3 linked regions of the Nothobranchius furzeri genome follow. The protein of the gene in region 1 binds, or shares a complex with, the protein of each later gene. Links are inferred from orthologs where the notes say so. Each region holds a gene or a part of one and is shown on either strand. Other genes may lie near its edges. The genes, in order: cc2d2a, b9d2 and tmem231.

Region 1 (3,653 bases):
GTTTGTGTCATCTTTAAACAACACTAATCTAAAACACTAGCAGCTCATGTAAGTGCTATTTCATAAACATTTACATCACCATATATTTTATATTAAACAGCTATTCACATCAAACTCAGCGGTGACTCTAAAACTAAGGAGACCAGTTTCTTCCTGGCTTGAATTTATGACATTTCAGCCAGAAAATACTTCAAATGTGAAAAATGATGGCATGGTAAAGGTTATAAAATAGCATCTGCATAAACTGCTGTGAAGTTTTAGGAACGTTTGTAAATGTTTAGTCAAAACCAATCTCTGTTACTCCTAACTGAAGCTGTTCATAGCTACAAGTAAGACGTCGATCGATCGTAACATTTCAACAAAACCTCGCTTTAAGAGACTTGAACTACTGCTTAGTTCAATCATTTCTGACAGTCCTAAACTATAAATCTGCAAGTTTTAAGATCTTTCAGACTCTGCCTTCATTTTTGAAAGTTCTCATTCAATCATTTGTTCTATAAATCTGCCGAGGCCTACAGTATGGATTAAAATGTTGTATGCTGTTTAGTGTAGAAGCTGTGTGTGTGTGTGGGTGGGTGGCGCAGCAGGATTTGGAGACTTACTCATTAATATTCATGATATGCCAACATCTTGCCTCTGATTGGCTAACAGTAACTTGACTCTTCTGCTGCCTTCAATCCTTCTTCTTACTTGGGTAACAAATGATGATTTCTCTCCACAAACAACACAAGCCTGAAGAGGTTCTGCCACGTTGTGAAGATGCTAATGATTAGCTTCTACTAGCTGACATGTGCTCTGCTCTCTCCTGGATGCTAAATCAATACAGCTTTTCTGTGGGTGGTGGCAAGCCAAGAAGGGCGAGGCAGTTTTCCCCTGTGACGTAGATCTGTACGGCTTTACCACACAGTCTGTTTTCTATCGGCAGAGTAATGCAGGAAATAGGGGTAGAAACTATTTTCATGATCAGCTTGCATGTGAAACTCAGCATGACAGACTGTTTCCAAAAACAAGTATTATAGTTTCTCAGTGAACGAGAACTTTAAGGACACTGCACACCATAGTTGACTGAAAATGATCCTGTTAGTAAATCTTAACAGGAACACTTGTTGGGAACAGGAATGTTACACGGCACTGTACATATGCGAGTGAAGCAGAAATGAACAACAGTATTTACCACTTCCTACTCCTTCATGATCAAACATGACTCTTTGGTTGCTGCTAAACTCAAACGTCTCCACAGGAGCGCTGCCTGTAACCACTGAGGGTTCTGGTACCGGAACAAACACCTGAGCCAGGAGGGAGGAGGATGATCCAATCTGCTCAAACACCTGCACACAACACACACACGCACACACACACACACACACACACACACACACACACACACACACACACACACACACACACACACACACACACACACACACGCAGACACACACACACACACACACACACACACACACACACACACACACACACACACACACGCACACACACACACACGCAGACACACACACACACACACACACACACACACACACGCAGACACACACACACACACACGCACACACACACACACACACACACACACACACACACACACGCACACACACACACACACACACACACACACACACACACACACACACACACACACACAGAACTGATGAGAAACAGACTGCAGCTGCAGCAGTAACAACCTTGCGGTGCATTCAGAGTTCCTCTACTCCACCTGCAGATTCATGCTCTGGGGACAGTTAAGGATCTTGAGGTGGAACAGCTGGGTGAACTGCACCCTGAAGTCAGATCTCAGGGAGCAGCTGCCTGTTCGGGAAACTTCCTTGTCATTGTACAGGACTTTGATGAAAAGCGATCGCTTGGAAACATCTTCTCTTCGAGCAACCTCAGCCCTTAAACGAGAGAGCATAACAAACAGGATAAAAGCATGTAAAGTACTACAATAAGCAGTCTTCTCATGCCATCGACTAACATTTCCATAAATACATGAAACGTGCCAGTTAAAGGGGTGTTGCAGTTTGTGATGAATACGGTTTACCTGGGACAGAGTTCACTGGGTGTGATGCTTCCTGATGCAGACAGCTCTGGGGTCAGAATGACCTCTCCTGGCTTCCTGCGTATCCTCGAGGCTTTTTCTCTCACCCATTGCTCTATGGAGTCAAAGTCCGGCCTCTCGGGGGGTTCTGGTTTAGGAGGACCTTCCTCAAAGGGTCCTTCTGATTCGCTCCCTTCCTGGTCTTGATCTTCCTCGTCTGTATCATCCTGTGTCTGACCTCGTTTCTTCTTCTTTTTCTTCTTCTTTTTGGCTTTCTGAAAACATGGGATATAAAAATATGTGCAAAAATAAATATGCAATCCTACAAGAACAAGGCTGGCCTTATTTTACTCCACGGTGTTTGTGATGGTTCCAGCAGCAGTAGTCAGACACCTGCTTCTTCCTCCAGCGCTTCCACTCCTCCTGCTGTTTCTTGTACTCTGCCAGCTTCTTCTGGTAGTCCTCCTCATGCTCTGCCTCTATCTCCAAAGCTTCTGTCAGGATTTCCTCCTCGTACATGTGCTCATCTGCAGCCAGGTCCACGTTCTCTCTGAAGCATCAAGAAACAAAGCAGCACATTTATGGTATGAATAGAAAACCTTTCAGACTGCTGCAATAAGTATAATTAACATAATTCTGTTAAGATTTATAATAGAAAACTGAAGGAAATTTCTAAATGATGTTTTCAGTCAGGGTTGGCTGGAACAGGAGAGCTTACCTTCTGAGGTAGAGCTTGTATGGTGTGTTAGTAAATGTCTGAAATTCTCTCAGAGCTTTGATCTCCTTCCACACTTTGATGATGTTCTTTAGCAGAGTTCTGTCCTTCTCCTGCTCCATATCTCTCAGGTGTCGAGTATTCCTGGAACGTTCATGGGAAACTCTGCCAACTCTGTCCAACATGTTTCTGGACATATTAGGATCTAATGGGCCACTCCCATCGGTCCCGGGTCGGCCCGGTACCGATGGGAGTGGCCCATAAATGAGCCACCTCACCTCACTTCAAGGCTGTACTCAAAAATCCTCCTCTGAAGGGCCTGAGGGAGGTCCTGATCACCGTGGACCTTCACCACATTCCTCAAAGCATTCCTTAAACCATTCAACTAAAGCGGACACAAACACTCAGCTGTGTCAAAGCATTGTGGTACGGCCGTGGTAACCTCTCCACAGTATCTGGTGAAGTCTACCTTGTCAGTGAGGTGTCCTGAGAGATTACTCTGCCTCCTGGTGAGATACTGGTCGAACAGGTGAGCTAGACGAGCTGCCAGCACGTGTTCACGGCTGAAGAGAGGGTGATGGGAGAAGATCAGCCCCGACACATTGACATCGATCTGGTAGTCCCCCGTGGGGTCTGATGAACCGTACATGGACTTCAGCGGCTGAGAGACAGCAGAGATAACAACATTATCCAGCATTCGCTGCACAACAAAACTCTCAGCATTTGTTTTTAACTGCATGTCTGTTTGTGTGTTTATGATTAAAGATGAGATCAATTAAACTACAGAAGCATTTGTATATTAAAAGATTCTGAATGCGTTGCATTTTCTCTAAATCTGCCCTTTGTCCCTGTCCGTTAGCAAGAATGATCTAATTACAGCCTGCC
Region 2 (3,145 bases), on another chromosome or scaffold:
AAAAAAAAAACATTTGTTCCAAAACATCACTGCACCGCTACTGACATCTTGTGGTCATATTTGGTTACTACACTCGTGTGCCCCTTGGTCATTTGGATTTGTTGTGCAAAAGAAAATAACTGCTTGTACAATCCGGAACTTCTTATTTTGTTATTCATCGTTTTTACATTTGATTGAAGTCTTTTTTCGACACAAACGTCCTTTAATGTCCAGCGTCCCCTTTAAGGACTCTGGCCAACAGCTCAGCGCCCAATCACGGCGCGTAAACTGAACTCTGTTGTTAGCAGCTAGCATTAGAAAAAACAATTCCAATTACCGGAGCGATATTTTCCTCCCTCTGTTCATTTCAAAACCCACAGTTGAGAACAATTGTATTTCGGTCATAATAGCCAAAGCAGCAACGAGCCTCTTTACTCGGGTGTACGTGCTAAATACCGGGAAAAATGACTTCTGCACTGGTGAGTTTGGCTAGCACTTGTTACTGTAGCAACTGAGGAAGTTCGTGTCTGATTTGTAGTAGACTACTTGTTTTGGTTAACGCACACACACACACACACATGTTCAAATATTCATAACGTTACAAATATGAAATATTAGGTATAGTTGGATTGATGGTAAACGGTAGATGAATAAGAAACCAACTTCAATGATAAGTGTTTATTTATAGCTGTATTTCAGGTGTAAAAACATCAGCATAGAAATGTACAAAACTTTGCCGTGTGTAATTTTTCAAAGGCATTTGCGACAAAACAAACTTTTTATAAGAAAACAATCAATACAACATTCTTATTTGACGTCTCAGCTCTCGACGCCATGTTTGTCAAAGTGTCTTATGATGACGCCCAGCTCCAGATTCACAGTGCCCATGGCCTCGGTGTGCAGTCTGTATCTGTCCGCTCCACTGTAAATCAGATCCGGGTTGCGGAGCTGGGGGCCTCCGCCGACAAATATTCGTGCTAGCTGCTCTTGCCAGGAGCCGAGCGGCCTCCATGTCACACAGCTTATGCGGTGATGTCCGGGGCTGGAGGGAACGTGGCAGTACCCGTATCCGTACAGCTGGTAGCGGCCGAATGAGTCCTGGTGCCACACTTGCAGATGAAGCTTCGGCCAGCCCTGGAGACCTTTGGTCGCATAGTGCAGATCAATTGGGTGGCTCCAGTAAGCCATTTCTCCGCTGTGGGGGGAATCCACCTGAGTCTGACCCTCCTTCAGCCCCGAGAGAAGACGCCATGCTCCCCCCGTATGAACTTCCCATTTGCAAAATAGGCTTTTTTGAGGAAACCCGCTGGCCCCGATGATCTGTCCTATAATGTGAAGCTCTGCCATTTCACAGCTGTCCGCTTTAACCAGAACATGCGACACACGGAGCCCGCTTTTATCAAAGGCTACAGAGCAACAAACGCAGCTCACGTCTCCTTGGTAACCCAGCCTGCCATAGTGTGCTCTTAATACAGCACTCCCTGAGCAGAGTCTGTCAGGCAGCACTTCCTGTCTAGGGCTGGTTCTATTTTTGAAGGCAAATGAGACACATTTTTATATCTTCTTGCTAAAAAAATATTACTTAACCTTTAATTTAGTAAACTAATTACGAATTTTAACCAATTTAATTAATGACGTGAAGCAGCTGTTACATAAATTACAATCATACCTGAAAGACTGAATAAAGGGTATACAAGAACCGCTGGTTTACTTTTTTCCGAATAACTATTTAACAGCGCAAGTTCAACAAGATGGCAAATGAAGTGCACTGTACTTTTTAATGTATTGTTTACATCTCAATGGTGCTTTATTTTTTAAGGTTATAAATTCTAAAAAGCTATTTATTTAGATATGCTTTCTCCTGCTTTTCCTGATGACTGTTCATCTTGCAACTTTTATATAACTCAATGGATAACTAAAGAAAGTAAAATTTATTTATATAGAACCTATTGTAGAAAAGAAAATCATGAAGTTCTTCAATGAAAATTACATAAAAAATAAAACATAAAATACAAAAAAGAAGAAAATATCATTTAATAACAAAAGTGGTCATAAAACAAATGAAAAAATAATTTCCAAACATAAACTTGTAAAATAATTGAAAATCTCTGTTGATTTCATCATAGTCTGATCCAACCCTAGAGAGAAATTTCAAGGGTCACAGGGACGTCGTGACAAGTGTGGACTTCAGCCGCAACATGAAACAAATTGGTAATATTATTATTATTTGATCTGAGCCTTTGTCCGTCTATATATTCACCTGTTATCCAGTTTGTTGTGTGCACATTGTAGTTAATACCAATCTCTTGCTTCAACCAGCTTGTGCTTCCTCCTTTCTCAGTCACAGGCTCTATGGATTCTTGTGTGATGATCTGGAACTTGAAGCCTCAGATGAGAGCTTATCGTTTCGATGGACACAGAGAAGCTGTAAACTCTGTCCAGTTTTCTCCATCTGGTCACCTTGTGGCCTCGGCCTCTAGAGACAAAACTGTACGTCTCTGGGTGCCCAGCATGTAAGTTTATACGTAGCAGCATTTTATGTTGTTTTCTTCTCATCAAGTTTCTCCAGAAATTATCACTCAAGACAAAGCTGTGGATTCCTAAAGGCAAAAGAACAAGATCTGCTGATTACTCTAATTTCATCATACCAGCGCCCTGAATAAACAGTGTGTTTGTCTGCTTTATGTATGAATAATACCTTTTGTGTTTGCAGGAAGGCTGATTCAACTGAATTCAGGGCTCACACTGCCACTGTGCGTTGTGTTAACTTCTCCGGTGATGGACAGAGCCTGGTCACAGCGTCTAATGACAAAACAATCAAAGTGTGGACGGTCCACAGGCAGAAGTTCCTCTTCTCTCTTAACCAGCACATCAACTGGGTCCGCTGTGCCAAGTATGAAACACACACACTCCCATTTAATACCACACCATGCAAGTTTCCCTGTGATATTTGTAATGATGAGTAAAGTGTTGTACAAGTGTTTAAAAAATTTAATATGTGATGTCAAGTTTTCACCTTTTTTTTTTACACTTTTCCTCTCAAATGTTTAATTTTAAAATTTTAATGTGCTTTTCTCCAGGTTTTCTCCAGATGATCGTTTAATTGTGTCCTGCAGTGATGATAGAACTATAAAGCTATGGGACAAGAACAGCAGAGAGTGCATTC
Region 3 (4,331 bases), on another chromosome or scaffold:
AAATATTTCTTCAAAGCACGTTGGACACAAATAAAAATCCTCTTCCTCTGCATGGAAAGAGCTCTTTGTGAGACGGCTACTGGAGTGGGATACATACAAAGAGCTGGTAGCTGAAGGTGAGCAGCAGCTGAATGCTGTAAACTTGTTCATCAGGTTTCAGCGGAAGCTGCAGTTGCAGGTTCAAACGGTCCAGTTTCCCATCCTGGTTCAGGTCCTCCTCTCTCACCTTTATGAAAACAAAACACAATTTTCATTTACAAAACAAAAATACATAATTACAAAAGACAATCTTGCAGAGGCACAAGAGACTCGTGGAAATGAATGATCCTCCTTTAGAGTAAAAATGTGTTTTAGCTTTTTCTGGTTTCTTTATGTTTTCACTTTCACAAATATTAAGCACCTATTAAGTCTTTTATGTGAATTTTCTGTGTTCTGACTCACTGCTGGCTGGCTGAGCACCAGCATGTTTTTTACTTCAACAGTATTCATCCTGCTCTGGTTGGCAGTCAGTCTCAGCCTTTTAGGTGTAAAATATGAAATCAAAGCTGCAGAGATTTTACCAGTGATTCAGAAATAACTTAAGGGAGAGGAACGTTGAGTTTTCTTACAGAGATAGTGGGGATACGTAGGTTGGTCCCAAGCATGTTGTTAAGGAAAGGGAAAGTGCTCCAGGCAACATAATGTCCTTGAGCACTGGTTGCTGCTAACAGCAAAGTCTCGTACTGGAACCTCACAACCGGCTGTTCTTCGTAAATGCTTCGTTTTATCCAGAAACCTGAAATGAGAAGAAACTAAAGCAGTGAACTCTATCTGCTCAGAGCGTCAGATACAGTTCCACTCAACTCCTTTCTCCACCTCATCTTCTCGTGAACGTCCACTAAGCTAATTCACACGGGCAATAACAGCTCTTCCATGAAAATGTCTTTGACATCCAAAATAATCATTTTCAACATGGTCAAATATTTTAAACGTTGTTTTTTTTAGGTAAATGACAATTGGAAACAGTCAGTGGTGTGTTAAAAAAAGAAACAAAGCTGTCATTTAGACTAGATGCTGTAAAACAATGTGTGAAAGCACTGTTATCAGGTAAGTTACTCTTTTATTTTTATTGCTGCTATAAAACTTTATCATCTCAGCAACTGAAGGTTTTGTAAAGAAGCTCTCGAGTTGTTGTCGAGATTATAAATCTCACAAGCTAAGGTGATCTGCGGAGTAAACCATGTGTTTTTGTTTCCATATTAAGTTTGTGAACAGGAACGTTTCCTGTAAAATCTGGTGGATTAACACAAGTGAGATTTCCAGACATTGACAAGAACTTGACGTTGCCATGTTGCTTTATTGGTCGTGCTAAAATCACAAGTTATGGAGCACATTTTCAAATCTTAATGCAAAAAATTCTTAATTTTAAGAGAAATTTGTGTATGTTTTCAATAAGTGAACTAGTTTATTGGCAGTGTCTAAATATCACATGAGCCAAAATGGATGCTGATTGGTAAATATTAGATGAGTTTTCCAGATTTATTAGTTTTGTTTTGCAACAGGGTTAAGAGTGGGAATCTGTAGAAAGCTACTTGGAGAATTAAATACCTTCAGGGTAAAAAAAAAACTGCAAATTACCTACTGAGAGGTATGTGTAAAATGAGAATGAGACTTAGCTGCACAAGCAGGTTTCTGGCTCAAAGATGATCAACTAAAGTTCTGCAGCCTTTGTTGCTGAACATAACTGCTTTTCAGAGTTTCTCCATATGATTTAGCAAAAGTTGGGGTTGTCTAAAGTATAAGATATTCAGCACCTGCTGGTCAGATCTGTACAAGAACTGAAAACCTGTATCAATCTCAAAAACCAGAATGGATGCCTCTCTAATATTGGACCAGCAGCTCAAGAGGCACAGCGGGTTGTCCAGTAATCGGAAGGCCAAGTGCAGCTGTGGATACAATGTAGCTCATCAGCGTGTGAATGTGTGTGAATGGATGAATGAAACACTGTAGTGTAAAGAGCTTTGGAGTCCTCCGACTCTGAAAGGTGCTGTACACGTGAGGTTCGTTTATCATTATTTAAAAGAAATAATTTCAAACACAAAACTGAGGCTTTTTATTGCAGGTTTCTGCAATATTCTCCAAGTTAATTACGAAACTTTCACTCATCAATCACAATAAATGCATATTTTATTTGTATTTTTTTTCAGTCACATCACAGTATAAAAGCATGAAAAGTTGGTCTGTAAATATCCCTGTTATTTTATTCTATCATTATGTGAATTTAATCTGGGATTGGTTTTTCTGCAGTCACTTGATGGTCAGATTAAATATCTTTGTGATGGTAACAAATACAAAAAGGGCAAAATTATAATAAGATAATAAAAAACATTCAGTAAACCTTCCTTCAATAAACTTTACAAGACTTGTTCCCTCCATAAACCCGAGGTTTTGGTGAACCTAAGCATTTGTTATTACTTCTTGTCTCTGTAACTGAGGATTTACACATCGTAGGACATTTGAGGAGACACGATGAACAGTTAATAAAAGCTTTCTGGTGACCGTTACTGTACCTTGACTCCTGTATGCAACCAGCAGCGGTGGGATGTACGTAAGGCATAAAACAACAACCAGAAATAAGGTAGCTGTTGTACAAACACTGGTTTTGTACCGAACCACGGCCGGGTGAGAGTAGACTTCATAAAAAGCCATGAGTACCCGCTAGCTAAACGCTAACCGCTAACGCGGATGCTAACTCGGGTCTAATAAGAGAAAAAGCTCACAAACATATTTAACTCATATAAAGCAATGTCCATCTAGTTGAATGTGGAGTCAAGCAGCCCCATAAAGACATATTCATCACGAAATTTGGCGTTTAACATGCTATTTTTGTTAGCCTCTGTGATTATCGGTGCGGGATCCCACGCCATGTTAGCTAGGCGTCTGGCGGTTACCATGGCAGCCAACGACCAGACTGCGTTCACGCAACGTTTGAGAGTACGGGAACCTTTTTTCCAGATGTGGAAATGTTGCTATTTTATGAGGCGTCTGCTACTCTTTTTAATTTTGATGAACATAGTGTAGAGAAACTATTTACACAGACTGTCTTGGGGGCATTTTTTAGAGATTATGGAAATCATTTATTAGGTATTTTTCTTATGATGTTACTCATTCTGACTGTATGTGTTATTCTGTTCTTTAGAAAATAACAGAAATACAAACAAGCGCCTTTACCATTATGTTTTATGTGTGTGAGGACTCAGTCACGGATAGACCGACTCTCCCGGAGAGCCCGTGAAGGCAGCACTCTGTCAGACGTTGACGTCACCTCTCCGCTAGACGCACAGCTGAAAGGCTAATTTGACGTTGTTTTGATTGCGTTTGTCTGGATATTTGGACAATTCGCCGACATTACCCGCAGATTTAGAAGCTTCTACGCGTCACGCCTCAGTGCGGGGATCCAGCAAAGATGAAATGGATGTTTAAAGAGGACCATTCCCTCGGTAAAAGGGTTTGGATTGTTATGAAACAAGAGATGCTCTTGTCGTGTCATCCCACCTTATTCTGTTTTACTGTCCCCGCATCGTTTAGCAATGCCACCGCTCATAGACGCAGTAATGCATGCTTTTATTTTTTGCCATTTGCACGACTGCTGTAATTCGATTTCGCTGCATGAAACCATTTTCCCTTTTTGGTCGCTTTATCGTTGCCCTAAAAGCAAAATCAGCTGAATCTGCTCTGATTCCTGTCTTTACACTGTGTGTTTACACCTTTTGATAATGTTTGACCTAAACACCTAATGTCAGAACAAATCCAGCAAGAATAAATTCTTATATTTTTTTAATTGGCTAAGAGACCTAATGAAAATACAATTTGAACATGTAAGTCAGGATTGTTTCAAACGCATTAACAGTAACTGAACTCACATCTCATTGGAGCCATTTCTGTTATGTAACTCAGCTTTTGTGTGGAAACTCTCACCGGATAACCTTTTTAAAGAAACACATCCAAAGTAGGCCTCTTATCTGGGTTAATGAAAGCCTGCACCTTATCAACTATCACCTCTCCTCCCCTCCCCGGGCCTCATTTTCTGCATTGCTGCATGTCCTGCCTAAAATCAATGCACACAATGGCATCAATCATGATTACAATCACTGTGAAAGGCAGCTAGTGCCTTAATTTGATCACAAATTGTTGTTAGAGTTGATAATCCATTTTATGCGTGCTGCATCTTGTGTGAAAAGTGTCTGCTGTGCACAGGGAGCTCTCTGTGTTGAACAAGGCTTGGCTTTAAGATGGCAGAGGAAGAATCCCAAGAGGCCTCACTCATCCTTTTAATCTCTACTTCCTGTTTG

Evidence for each region.
Region 2: cc2d2a (region 1) and b9d2 share a complex: the UniProt entries of both Homo sapiens proteins name them as parts of the tectonic-like complex. The link is inferred for Nothobranchius furzeri from reciprocal best matches to the Homo sapiens genes CC2D2A and B9D2.
Region 3: cc2d2a (region 1) and tmem231 share a complex: the UniProt entries of both Homo sapiens proteins name them as parts of the tectonic-like complex. The link is inferred for Nothobranchius furzeri from reciprocal best matches to the Homo sapiens genes CC2D2A and TMEM231.

Annotation. Positions count from the first base shown.
Region 1 is NC_091748.1:39,034,495-39,038,147, reverse strand, and holds part of cc2d2a (coiled-coil and C2 domain-containing protein 2A), read right to left. Parts: intron 3,430-3,653; coding exon 3,238-3,429; intron 3,154-3,237; coding exon 3,047-3,153; intron 2,913-3,046; coding exon 2,772-2,912; intron 2,604-2,771; coding exon 2,447-2,603; intron 2,329-2,446; coding exon 2,057-2,328; intron 1,911-2,056; coding exon 1,733-1,910; intron 1,329-1,732; coding exon 1,175-1,328; intron 1-1,174. UniProt on the Homo sapiens protein: Component of the tectonic-like complex, a complex localized at the transition zone of primary cilia and acting as a barrier that prevents diffusion of transmembrane proteins between the cilia and plasma membranes.
Region 2 is NC_091743.1:62,503,025-62,506,169, forward strand, and holds b9d2 (B9 domain-containing protein 2), read right to left. Parts: upstream 1,765-3,145; 5' UTR 1,327-1,764; coding exon 799-1,326; 3' UTR 643-798; downstream 1-642. Other genes in the region: poc1a (POC1 centriolar protein homolog A), read left to right, coding at 444-458, 2,106-2,190, 2,321-2,492, 2,693-2,872, 3,060-3,145. UniProt on the Homo sapiens protein: Component of the tectonic-like complex, a complex localized at the transition zone of primary cilia and acting as a barrier that prevents diffusion of transmembrane proteins between the cilia and plasma membranes.
Region 3 is NC_091744.1:86,200,718-86,205,048, reverse strand, and holds the start of tmem231 (transmembrane protein 231), read right to left. Parts: upstream 2,922-4,331; 5' UTR 2,689-2,921; coding exon 2,550-2,688; intron 776-2,549; coding exon 609-775; intron 227-608; coding exon 98-226; intron 1-97. Other genes in the region: gabarapl2 (gamma-aminobutyric acid receptor-associated protein-like 2), read left to right, coding at 3,446-3,479. UniProt on the Homo sapiens protein: Transmembrane component of the tectonic-like complex, a complex localized at the transition zone of primary cilia and acting as a barrier that prevents diffusion of transmembrane proteins between the cilia and plasma membranes.